2 linked regions of the Xenopus tropicalis genome follow. The protein of the gene in region 1 purifies or fractionates together with the protein of each later gene. This does not show direct contact. Links are inferred from orthologs where the notes say so. Each region holds a gene or a part of one and is shown in the gene's direction. Other genes may lie near its edges.

Region 1 (6,251 bases):
AGGTGCCATGTACAGGGGCTATATTCTCTGCAGTCAGGGGCCCATATAGGTGCCATGTACAGGGGCTATATTCTCTGCAGCCAAGGGCCCATATAGGTGCCATGTACAGGGGCTATATTCTCTGCAGCCAGGGGGCCATATAGGTGCCATGTACAGGGGCTATATTCTCTGCAGTCAGGGGGCCATATAGGTGCCATGTACAGGGGCTATATTCTCTGCAGTCAGGGGCCCATATAGGTGCCATGTACAGGGGCTATATTCTCTGCAGTCAGGGGCCATATAGGTGCCATGTACAGGGGCTATATTCTCTGCAGTCAGGGGGCCATATAGGTGCCATGTACAGGGGCTATATTCTCTGCAGTCAGGGGCCCCATATAGGTGCCATGTACAGGGGCTATATTCTCTGCAGTCAGGGGCCCATATAGGTGCCATGTACAGGGGCTATATTCTCTGCAGTCAGGGGGCCATATAGGTGCCATGTACAGGGGCTATATTCTCTGCAGTCAGGGGGCCATATAGGTGCCATGTACAGGGGCTATATTCTCTGCAGTCAGGGGCCCATATAGGTGCCATGTACAGGGGCTATATTCTCTGCAGTCAGGGGCCATATAGGTGCCATGTACAGGGGCTATATTCTCTGCAGTCAGGGGCCCATATAGATGCCATGTACAGGGGCTATATTCTCTGCAGTCAGGGGCCCATATAGGTGCCATGTACAGGGGCTATATTCTCTGCAGTCAGGGGCCCATATAGGTGCCATGTACAGGGGCTATATTCTCTGCAGTCAGGGGGCCCATATAGGTGCCATGTACAGGGGCTATATTCTCTGCAGTCAGGGGCCCATATAGGTGCCATGTACAGGGGCTATATTCTCTGCAGTCAGGGGCCCATATAGGTGCCATGTACAGGGGCTATATTCTCTGCAGTCAGGGGGCCCATATAGGTGCCATGTACAGGGGCTATATTCTCTGCAGTCAGGGGCCCATATAGGTGCCATGTACAGGGGCTATATTCTCTGCAGTCAGGGGGCCATATAGGTGCCATGTACAGGGGCTATATTCTCTGCAGTCAGGGGGCCCATATAGGTGCCATGTACAGGGGCTATATTCTCTGCAGTCAGGGGCCCATATAGGTGCCATGTACAGGGGCTATATTCTCTGCAATCAGGGGGCCATATAGGTGCCATGTACAGGGGCTTTATTCTCTGCAGTCAGGGGCCCATATAGGTGCCATGTACAGGGGCTATATTCTCTGCAGTCAGGGGCCCATATAGGTGCCATGTACAGGGGCTATATTCTCTGCAGTCAGGGGCCCATATAGGTGCCATGTACAGGGGCTATATTCTCTGCAGTCAGGGGCCCATATAGGTGCCATGTACAGGGGCTATATTCTCTGCAGTCAGGGGGCCATATAGGTGCCATGTACAGGGGCTATATTCTCTGCAGTCAGGGGGCCCATATAGGTGCCATGTACAGGGGCTATATTCTCTGCAGTCAGGGGCCCATATAGGTGCCATGTACAGGGGCTATATTCTCTGCAGTCAGGGGCCCATATAGGTGCCATGTACAGGGGCTATATTCTCTGCAGTCAGGGGGCCATATAGGTGCCATGTACAGGGGCTATATTCTCTGCAGTCAGGGGGCCCATATAGGTGCCATGTACAGGGGCTATATTCTCTGCAGTCAGGGGCCCATATAGGTGCCATGTACAGGGGCTATATTCTCTGCAGTCAGGGGGCCATATAGGTGCCATGTACAGGGGCTATATTCTCTGCAGTCAGGGGGCCCATATAGGTGCCATGTACAGGGGCTATATTCTCTGCAGTCAGGGGCCCATATAGGTGCCATGTACAGGGGCTATATTCTCTGCAATCAGGGGGCCATATAGGTGCCATGTACAGGGGCTTTATTCTCTGCAGTCAGGGGCCCATATAGGTGCCATGTACAGGGGCTATATTCTCTGCAGTCAGGGGCCCATATAGGTGCCATGTACAGGGGCTATATTCTCTGCAGTCAGGGGCCCATATAGGTGCCATGTACAGGGGCTATATTCTCTGCAGTCAGGGGGCCATATAGGTGCCATGTACAGGGGCTATATTCTCTGCAGTCAGGGGCCCCATATAGGTACCATGTACATAGAAGCTTTTTGTTTTTTTAAGGGCCCCATTTTACAGGGTTCATCACCTTTGGGGCCCAGGTGACTGGAGGGTTAATACTTGAAGCCGCATGATTACTTTTGACGGCCCTGGCTGCTGGTTTAGGATTGGCTGCTGCTGTACTGGCACTGTGAGACTAAAGCAAAGGGTTAATAATATAAATAAAAGGCAGAGGCTTTCCCAAAATCAAGCAGCAGGCCTGGGAGCGTAACCAGCCCCGTTAGCAGAAGCAATCCAGTAAGCAGGGCTTCTTCCAGAATGCAGCACTACTGCGCTAGTAAGGCCCCGCCCACAGACTGGCAATTCCGCCCTGTTCTAATACAGCCACGCCTCTTTCCCTAACTAGCCTTTTCCTTTCTCCACGCTTCCCCGCCTCCTCCTTCCCGCTCCATGCCGGCCCCGCCCACCCCCTGCTCAGTGGCCCGGATGTAGGCTGGATCGCTGCTGCTGTTGCTGCTGGTACGCAGGCGCGGCCCGTATCTGGGGGTTCTTGTTGTCCGCGGCCTGGGCCGCTGTGGAGCGGGCGGGGGGTGCCGGAAGAAACGGAGCTTTTCTTCACTTCGAATTCGGTAAGGAAATAGGCGGGAAGGAAGGGGTTGCTCCGGGCCTGGGCTGGGAGTGTAGTTCCCAGGCCGCCCGGGGATTAGCTGCCTTGCCGCTCATGGAGAGGGAGGGGACGGGCTGAGGCTCCGGGGCACAAACACTGGAGGCGGTGAGGCGCTTGCCTATCTTACGGGCGCCTTTAAAGCTCCTCTTTTCCCATAGGGGCCTATGGGAGTTACGGTTTGTCAGCTCTTACACATATCCTGTGCGGCTATTGTTGTTGCAGGGGATGATGGGAGTTGTAGTTCAGTAAAGACAGAGAAGCCCAAACCCTTATAGTGGTTTCCTAATTCACCTCTTAGAGGTTGGGGATTTGATTGATTGTAAGCTCCCTGGCTGAGGCTGATATGTACAGGAGGGTTTATTGACCCCTAATGGTTCCCAATAACCATGGGGTTATTTTATTGCTACTAGGGATGGGCAGTGGCAGGTAGGGATGGTCAAACCGCCTCTCCTAATGCTTTCCAATGGGTAGAACAGGAGACACAGGGAGAATATACAAATATATATATATAATGCCCTGACTGGGATCGAACCTACAACCCCAACACTTACCCCAGTGATTACTGGACAATACTGCTGTAGGACTCGGTAGCTGGGGCACAGAGAGAGGTTATAGGAATATCTGAGCCTAGCTCCCCCCGCCCATAAACCAGGCCACTGTGGGCTGAAAGGGACTGGCAGGTTTAGGTTTACTTCCCCTTTAAAGAGAATAGTAAGCCTCTAGGAAACATTGCTTCCTTTCAACGCTCTTATGGCATAGGGCTGCTGCCTAGCAACTAGTCATATGTTCCAATGTTAGACTGGATTGTAACTAGGAGTAGTTTTATTTGGCGGATGAGGCCTCTTGCAACAATGTAGCAGAAGTTGATTTCCTCCAGATCTATCTGCTGGCTTCTTCTACATTATTGTTATTAAAGATTATCATAAGGGATAATGTACCCCCTACTGTAAATGATAAGGATATTAGCAGTCACTGAGGGGTTATGTGCCCATATAAAGGCACAAGGCTGCAGGCTGAGTTATACAGGGAACTCTGAGTATCACTCATGTATTATAAGGGATAATGTACCCCCTACTGTAAATGATAAGGATATTAGCAGTCACTGAGGGGTTCTGTGCCCATATAAAGGCACAAGGCTGCAGGCTGAGTTATACAGGGAACTCTGAGTATCACTCATGTATTATAAGGGATAATGTACCCCCTACTGTAAATGATAAGGATATTAGCAGTCACTGAGGGGTTCTGTGCCCATATAAAGGCACAAGGCTGCAGGCTGAGTTATACAGGGAACTCTGAGTATCACTCATGTATTATAAGGGATAATGTACCCCCTACTGTAAATGATAAGGATATGAGCAGTCACTGAGGGGCTCTGTGCCCATATAAAGGCACAAGGCTGCAGGCTGAGTTATACAGGGAACTCTGAGTATCACTCATGTATTATAAGGGATAATGTACCCCCTACTGTAAATGATAAGGATATTAGAAGTCACTGAGGGGTTCTGTGCCCATATACATCGAGCCAAATGCAAAAAAAGACATATAGTGTCACTGTGTCGGTGAACACCAAACCATTGTCAGTTGGCAGATCGATGGGGATGTTGGGCTCACAGGTGGTGCGGCTGCATTGTGCAACCATAAAGCAGAGCAGCTGGGGGTTAAGCCGTGCAGGCACCTTAATGTCTCTGCGCATGAAGCGATGTGATTGGTGGTTCTGATTCCGTACACAATGTTCCTTTGCTGAAATTCATGATCCAGTTCCCCCCCCTTCTGTGAAACATTATATCTGATGCACGGATTAAGCGCCGGGGCTCAAGCTGCTTCTTTTAACAGTCGTTGAGGAGACACCATCAAGGCATATTATTAAATACAGCCTCATTCTTAGCATGCCAGCCGGCGGGCCGCTATCCCATCTACCATCATTGGATTATACACAAGCACTATACTGGGCTGGCAGATTGCTCTGAGCCTCCGTGCTGTACTGATATTAGTACCGGTGTATGCAAGATATCTCCGCCTGGTGTCTGCAATTCTTCTCTATTATTCATACTCTATGCCCTAGGGGGGTTACACAGTTCTGTATCCTTCTACCAGAACAGATCTGTGCATTTAAGTGACAAGCACATATCAGTGTAAAGCTGGGAATTAGGGATGCACCGAATCCATTTGGCTGAATAACGAACAGATTGCTAATTAGGTTACGGAAGGGTTACATCTTCATTAGCAAATGCTTATTAGGGTACGGAAGGGTTACATTTTCAACTTCCGTGTTTACGTGACAAAAAGTCACGTGATTTTTTGAATTTGGTTCGTCCAGGAGCATGGATTCGGCCGAAAGCAAATCCCGAACTGAATCCTGGATTCGGTGCAGCCCTACTGGGAATACACGTAGAATCTGTAATGGTCTGAACATTTTGGCTCCCAGTCCAACAACCAAACCATAATAGGGGCCCAACAGGATTCTGTAATGTGGTGGCCAAACTGGATCCAGATATCAGTCAGACAGGCCAGCAGGAGGGCTCCATATATTGGCTAATATGGGGCTGACTTGATCTGGAGGGACTAAAGGTGGCCATACACAGTAAGATCTGCTCACTTGGTGAGGTCGCCAAGCGAGCGGATCTTCTCCCAATATCCCCACCTACGGGTGGGTGATATCGGGCTAATTTGGTCATTTGGCCCTGGGGCCAAACGATCGAATTAGAATGACGGGTATAGGCGCAGTCAGTTCAGGGACCGCATCAACGAGCCGATGCAGTCCCCGGTCCAACTAAATTTTTAAACCTGCCTGATTTTAGGCCAGATATCGGTTGGGCAGGCCAGTCGGTAGTGCCCATACACGGGCCGATAAGCTGTCAAGTCAGTCTAAGGGACTGATATCGGCAGCTAGAATTGGCCCGTGTATGGCCACCTTAAGATCTGCTTTGTTGGTGAGGTCGCCAAACGAGCAGATCTTTTCCCAATTTTCTCCCGATATGCCAACCTAAGGTAGGAGATATTGGGCTAAATTGATCCTTTGGGGGGTATATGGGATGTCGGACCGAGGACTGCATCAATGAGCCCCTATCCGACGGGAAAATCAAGATCTGTTGGGGTAGGCCCGTGGGGGGTGCCCATACTCAGGTAGATAAGCTGCAGTATTTGTCTGAAGGACCCAAATCAGCAGCTGAAATCTGCCCCGTAAGGTAGCTGCTTTTATTGGTTACGTTATGAAAGAACGGAAGGACAAATGCTTCAAAGGAACTTGGGCACATACATTTGGTTGAATTATAGGTAGTAGTTTGTCTTTCATAGGGCTGCTGTCTGAAATAAATTGTACAGCAGCTGTACACCCTAATAGTAATTTAAAAAAAATTAGTTTATTAAGGATTTTAGTTGCCCGTGATAACCATCCGTGCCATGGATTGATGGATCCCTTCCTTTGCCTTTTTTGTGTGTAAAGTAATGGTGTTTTGACAGCACAGGCCTGGGGACGGCTATCGGAAGTGA
Region 2 (6,540 bases), on another chromosome or scaffold:
TGACTGTCTCTCAGTGAGTGTCTCTCAGTGAGGAACTCTGGGTAATGGTGTGAGTGTCTCTCAGTGAGTGTCTCTCAGTGAGTGACTCTGGTAATGGTGTGACTGTCTCTCAGTGAGTGTCTCTCAGTGAGTGACTCTGGGGTAATGGTGTGAATGTCTCTCAGTGAGTGACTCTGGGTAATGGTGTGACTGTCTCTCAGTGAGTGTCTCTGGGTAATGGTGTGAGTGTCTCTCAGTGAGGAACTCTGGGTAATGGTGTGAGTGTCTCTCAGTGAGTGACTCTGGGTAATGGTGTGAGTGTCTCTCAGTGAGTGACTCTGGGTAATGGTGTGAGTGTCTCTCAGTGAGGAACTCTGGGTAATGGTGTGAGTGTCTCTCAGTGAGTGTCTCTCAGTGAGTGACTCTGGGTAATGGTGTGACTGTCTCTCAGTGAGTGACTCTGGGTAATGGTGTGACTGTCTCTCAGTGAGTGTCTCTCAGTGAGTGACTCTGGTAATGGGGTGACTGTCTCTCAGTGAGTGACTCTGGGTAATGGGGTGAGTGTCTCCTCAGTGAGTGTCTCTCAGTGAGTGACTCTGGGTAATGGTGTGACTGTCTCTCAGTGAGTGACTCTGGGTAATGGTGTGACTGTCTCTCAGTGAGTGTCTCTCAGTGAGTGACTCTGGTAATGGTGTGACTGTCTCTCAGTGAGTGACTCTGGGTAATGGTGTGACTGTCTCTCAGTGAGTGACTCTGGGTAATGGTGTGACTGTCTCTCAGTGAGGGACTCTGGGTAATGGTGTGAGTGTCTCTCAGTGAGTGTCTCTGGGTAATGGTGTGACTGTCTCTCAGTGAGTGACTCTGGGTAATGGTGTGACTGTCTCTCAGTGAGTGTCTCTCAGTGAGTGACTCTGGGTAATGGTGTGACTGTCTCTCAGTGAGTGTCTCTCAGTGAGGGACTCTGGGTAATGGTGTGAGTGTCTCTCAGTGAGTGTCTCTCAGTGAGGAACTCTGGATAATGGTGTGAGTGTCTCTCAGTGAGTGTCTCTCAGTGAGTGACTCTGGGTAATGGTGTGAGTGTCTCTCAGTGAGTGTCTCTCAGTGAGTGACTCTGGGTAATGGTGTGAGTGTCTCTCAGTGAGTGTCTCTCAGTGAGTGTCTCTGGGTAATGGTGTGAGTGTCTCTCAGTGAGTGTCTCTCAGTGAGTGTCTCTCAGTGAGTGACTCTGGGTAATGGTGTGACTGTCTCTCAGTGAGTGTCTCTCAGTGAGGGACTCTGGGTAATGGTGTGACTGTCTCTCAGTGAGTGTCTCTCAGTGAGGGACTCTGGGTAATGGTGTGACTGTCTCTCAGTGAGTGACTCTGGGTAATGGTGTGACTGTCTCTCAGTGAGTGACTCTGGGTAATGGTGTGACTGTCTCTCAGTGAGTGACTCTGGGTAATGGTGTGAGTGTCTCTCAGTGAGGAACTCTGGGTAATGGTGTGACTGTCTCTCAGTGAGTGTCTCTCAGTGAGTGACTCTGGGTAATGGTGTGAGTGTCTCTCAGTGAGTGTCTCTCAGTGAGTGACTCTGGGTAATGGTGTGAGTGTCTCTCAGTGAGTGTCTCTCAGTGAGTGACTCTGGGTAATGGGGTGAGTGTCTCTCAGTGAGGAACTCTGGGTAATGGGGTGAGTGTCTCTCAGTGAGGAACTCTGGGTAATGGTGTGACTGTCTCCCAGTGAGTGTCTCTCAGTGAGGAACTCTGGGTAATGGTGTGAGTGTCTCTCAGTGAGGAACTCTGGGTAATGGTGTGACTGTCTCTCAGTGAGTGTCTCTGGGTAATGGTGTGAGTGTCTCTCAGTGAGTGTCTCTCAGTGAGGAACTCTGGGTAATGGGGTGAGTGTCTCTCAGTGAGGAACTCTGGGTAATGGTTGTGACTGTCTCTCAGTGAGTGTCTCTCAGTGAGGAACTCTGGGTAATGGTGTGAGTGTCTCTCAGTGAGGAACTCTGGGTAATGGTGTGAGTGTCTCTCAGTGAGGAACTCTGGGTAATGGTGTGAGTGTCTCTCAGTGAGGAACTCTGGGTAATGGTGTGAGTGTCTCTCAGTGAGTGACTCTGGGTAATGGTGTGACTGTCTCTCAGTGAGTGTCTCTCAGTGAGTGTCTCTCAGTGAGGAACTCTGGGTAATGGTGTGAGTGTCTCTCAGTGAGTGACTCTGGGTAATGGTGTGAGTGTCTCTCAGTGAGGAACTCTGGGTAATGGTGTGAGTGTCTCTCAGTGAGTGTCTCTCAGTGAGTGTCTCTCAGTGAGTGACTCTGGGTAATGGTGTGAGTGTCTCTCAGTGAGTGTCTCTCAGTGAGGAACTCTGGGTAATGGTGAGTCTCAGACTGTGCGTCGCTCACAGTGTCCGGCCCCGCCCACATTCCTGCCTCCCGCTACTTGCAGTCTCCTCCCACAAGTGTCCGTGTCTCCGCCCCATTCCCGCCTGTGCCCCGCCCCTGTTCCCCGGTGCCTCCTCCCCGGGCTGTGAGTGGCTCCCCCGGCCCGTGTGGCTCAGTGCTGTCTCCGCTCTGCCCCAGGCTGATGGCGCTAGTCGGTAACTCGGGGCCCCCACAGTCCGCCTGACTCTCCCGCCCTCCCTCCGTACTCCAGGCCGCGGCCCGGGCCTAGCCTTGCTGTGGGACTCCCCGGGGCCATGTCTAACCAGGGATCCCGGCGGAACGGGCCGGTGAAGCTGCGACTGACCGGTGAGTAGGCCCGATACCCCTGCGTGGGGCAGAAGGCTCAGGGTGGGAGGGATCACAACAACAAGTTGGGCCCGGTGCTTCCCAGCATTCCGTGCGTTTGTCATGAGTTCCGGGGGCAAGTAGGGTAATATTCACCCCAGCTACTTCCTGCCGTTAGTTACCCCTCAGGCCTAACCTGCATGTTCCATTGAGCCCAGGGGCCCCTCTGGCTTGGCCTGGAGCTGAGCAATTGCCCTTTGAGGCAGGATTACTTGCCCTAGGTGGGGGTAACTAGTTGGTTTGGGGCCCTGGGTGCTTCTGGGGTCACACCCTGTGCTTATTGGGGTCCTGCCCAGGCTGTGAGTGCGCCCCCTAATTACAGGGCAATAACGAGACCTAATTAATAGAGTTTATATGAGTCTGGCGCTTGTACCCCTGTATGGGGCAGTTAGCTCATGTATGTGCCTGATTCCTGCGCCACTTGCCCCTGTATAGGGGGTACTTATTAGAGGGAAGAAGTCACTTGTGTAGGCTTGTGGGGGCGCCAGGAACCCTAAAATAAACCCCAAATGCCCAACCCCTCCCCTATCGGCCAGGCCTGGGGGCTGCAACCATCTTCCTTCAAGGCTTCGCAATCCCCTTTCTGGGCTAATGTGCATTTGGGGCAACTAGGATTGCTGCTCTTTGGATTCTGCCCCTGCTCAAGGTACCAACATGGCTCCTCAGCCCCAATGTGTCTGAGTTGCATCTCGATTGTGAAATAAGTTTTAGTCCTTTAATGGCATTTTACTGTATTTTGCGTGAAATCTGGAGTGGTCATTGGGGTATGTAATGGATCTGCCCTGGGCACTGCCACCCTTGGCTACTGGAACTCTGGCTGGACCTTATTTGCCCTTTAACTCATCTTTGAAGAGGATGCTGGGATTTGTAGTTCTTTAACAGCTGGTTGCCTAGGCATTCAAAAAGCAGTATTACTAAGTCCTTACCATATGGGCCCCCCTTTCCTCACTGACTACAGGGGGGCTGGTATTAAAAGCAATCATGGGTACCCACTCTAACCATAGGAAATGCCCACAATGGCTTGGCATGCAGAGATTTACAGTGGCATCCATGGTAGTGAGTATTGGCCTTGTCTGGCATTGTCCTTTAATTGTGAACCCTGTTGTTCGGGTTGCCTTTTGCTCACACTGAATGCTGGGAGATGTAGTTTCACAATATGTGGGCCTCTGGCCTAGGTGCCCTGCATTGTCAGTACAAGTGCAGCTGAGTGTGAGAGAGTACATGGAATATGAATCATGGTTTCTTATGGAGTCATTCACACTGGCAGTTTCCTTCTGAGCATTTATACAGAAACCATAGAGTTGTGCCCATAGGCAGACATACAGATACCATAGAGTTGTGCCCATAGGCAGACATACAGAAGCCATAGAATTGTGCCTATAGGCAGACATACAGAAGCCATAGAGTTGTGCCTATAGGCAGACATACAGATACCATAGAGTTGTGCCCATAGGCAGACATACAGATGCCATAGAGTTGTGCCTATAGGCAGACATACAGATACCATAGAGTTGTGCCCATAGGCAGACATACAGATACCATAGAGTTGTGCCCATAGGCAGACATACAGAAGCCATAGAGTTGTGCCCATAGGCAGACATACAGATGCCATAGAGTTGTGCCTATAGGCAAACATACAGAAGCCATAGAGTTGTGCCCATAGGCCCATGTCCCCCTGACAGACCGGCGTAGCCCCAGGTTTCCCCCCTGACAGACCGGCGTAGCCCCAGGTTTCGCCCCTGACAGACCGGCGTAGCCCCAGGTTTCGCCCCTGACAGACCGGCGTAGCCCCAGGTTTCGCCCCTGACAGACCGGCGTAGCCCCAGGTTTCCCCCCTGACAGACCGGCGTAGCCCCAGGTTTCGCCCCTGACAGACCGGCGTAGCCCCAGGTTTCGCCCCTGACAGACCGGCGTAGCCCCAGGTTTCCCCCCTGACAGACCGGCGTAGCCCCAGGTTTCCCCCCTGACAGACCGGCGTAGCCCCAGGTTTCCCCCCTGACAGACCGGCGTAGCCCCAGGTTTCCCCCCTGACAGACCGGCGTAGCCCCAGGTTTCGCCCCTGACAGACCGGCGTAGCCCCAGGTTTCCCCCCTGACAGACCGGCGTAGCCCCAGGTTTCCCCCCTGACAGACCGGCGTAGCCCCAGGTTTCGCCCCTGACAGACCGGCGTAGCCCCAGGTTTCCCCCCTGACAGACCGGCGTAGCCCCAGGTTTCCCCCCTGACAGACCGGCGTAGCCCCAGGTTTCCCCCCTGACAGACCGGCGTAGCCCCCAGGTTTCCCCCCTGACAGACCGGCGTAGCCCCAGGTTTCCCCCCTGACAGACCGGCGTAGCCCCAGGTTTCCCCCCTGACAGACCGGCGTAGCCCCAGGTTTCCCCCCTGACAGACCGGCGTAGCCCCAGGTTTCCCCCCTGACAGACCGGCGTTATAAAGTCATTATGGCTGGGAATGTCAATGCTATAAATGCAGTGATGACCTGCTTTGTCAGCGTGTTCCTCTGGGCCGGTCCCAGCTGCAGATTCCATGGCCAGGTACCGGGATGTGCATGTTGTTCTGACCCATTATGGTACTGTGTAAGGCCAGGTACCGGGATGTGCATGTTGTTCTGACCCATTATGGTACTGTGTAAGGCCAGGTACCGGGATGTGCATGTTGTTCTGACCCATTATGGTACTGTGTAAGGCCAGGTACCGGGGTGTGCATGTTGTTCTGACCCATTATGGTACTGTGTAAGGCCAGGTACCGGGGTGTGCATGTTGTTCTGACCCATTATGGTACTGTGTAAGGCCAGGTACCGGGATGTGCATGTTGTTCTGACCCATTATGGTACTGTGTAAGGCCAGGTACCGGGGTGTGCATGTGTTCTGACCCATTATGGTACTGTGTAAGGCCAGGTACCGGGGTGTGCATGTTGTTCTGACCCATTATGGTACTGTGTAAGGCCAGGTACCGGGGTGTGCATGTTGTTCTGACCCATTATGGTACTGTGTAAGGCCAGGTACCGGGGTGTGCATGTTGTTCTGACCCATTATGGTACTGTGTAAGGCCAGGTACCGGGATGTGCATGTTGTTCTGACCCATTATGGTACTGTGTAAGGCCAGGTACCGGGATGTGCATGTTGTTCTGACCCATTATGGTACTGTGTAAGGCCAGGTACCGGGATGTGCATGTTGTTCTGACCCATTATGGTACTGTGTAAGGCCAGGTACCGGGATGTGCATGTTGTTCTGACCCATTATGGTACTGTGTAAGGCCAGGTACCGGGATGTGCATGTTGTTCTGACCCATTATGGTACTGTGTAAGGCCAGGTACCGGGATGTGCATGTTGTTCTGACCCATTATGGTACTGTGTAAGGCCAGGTACCGGGATGTGCATGTTGTTCTGACCCATTATGGTACTGTGTAAGGCCAGGTACCGGGATGTGCATGTTGTTCTGACCCATTATGGTACTGTGTAAGGCCAGGTACCGGGGTGTGCATGTTGTTCTGACCCATTATGGTACTGTGTAAGGCCAGGTACCGGGGTGTGCATGTTGTTCTGACCCATTATGGTACTGTGTAAGGCCAGGTAACGCGGGGTGTGCATGTTGTTCTGACCCCATTATGGTACTGTGTAAGGCCAGGTACCGGGGTGTGCATGTTGTTCTGACCCATTATGGTACTGTGTAAGGCCAGGTACCGGGATGTGCATGTTGTTCTGACCCATTATGGTACTGTGTAAGGCCAGGTACCGGGATGTGCATGTTGTTCTGACCCATTATGGTACTGTGTAAGGCCAGGTACCGGGATGTTG

What was found. The genes of interacting proteins can lie anywhere in the genome.
Region 2: the proteins of smad4.1 (region 1) and smurf2 purify together in Homo sapiens (affinity purification with western blotting; 3 studies listed by BioGRID). This does not show direct contact. The link is inferred for Xenopus tropicalis from reciprocal best matches to the Homo sapiens genes SMAD4 and SMURF2.

Annotation. Positions count from the first base shown.
Region 1 is NC_030677.2:205,055,452-205,061,702, forward strand, and holds the start of smad4.1 (mothers against decapentaplegic homolog 4), read left to right. Parts: upstream 1-2,561; 5' UTR 2,562-2,724; intron 2,725-6,251. UniProt on the Homo sapiens protein: In muscle physiology, plays a central role in the balance between atrophy and hypertrophy. When recruited by MSTN, promotes atrophy response via phosphorylated SMAD2/4.
Region 2 is NC_030686.2:51,424,608-51,431,147, forward strand, and holds the start of smurf2 (E3 ubiquitin-protein ligase SMURF2), read left to right. Parts: upstream 1-2,413; 5' UTR 2,414-2,653; coding exon 2,654-2,705; intron 2,706-6,540. UniProt on the Homo sapiens protein: E3 ubiquitin-protein ligase which accepts ubiquitin from an E2 ubiquitin-conjugating enzyme in the form of a thioester and then directly transfers the ubiquitin to targeted substrates.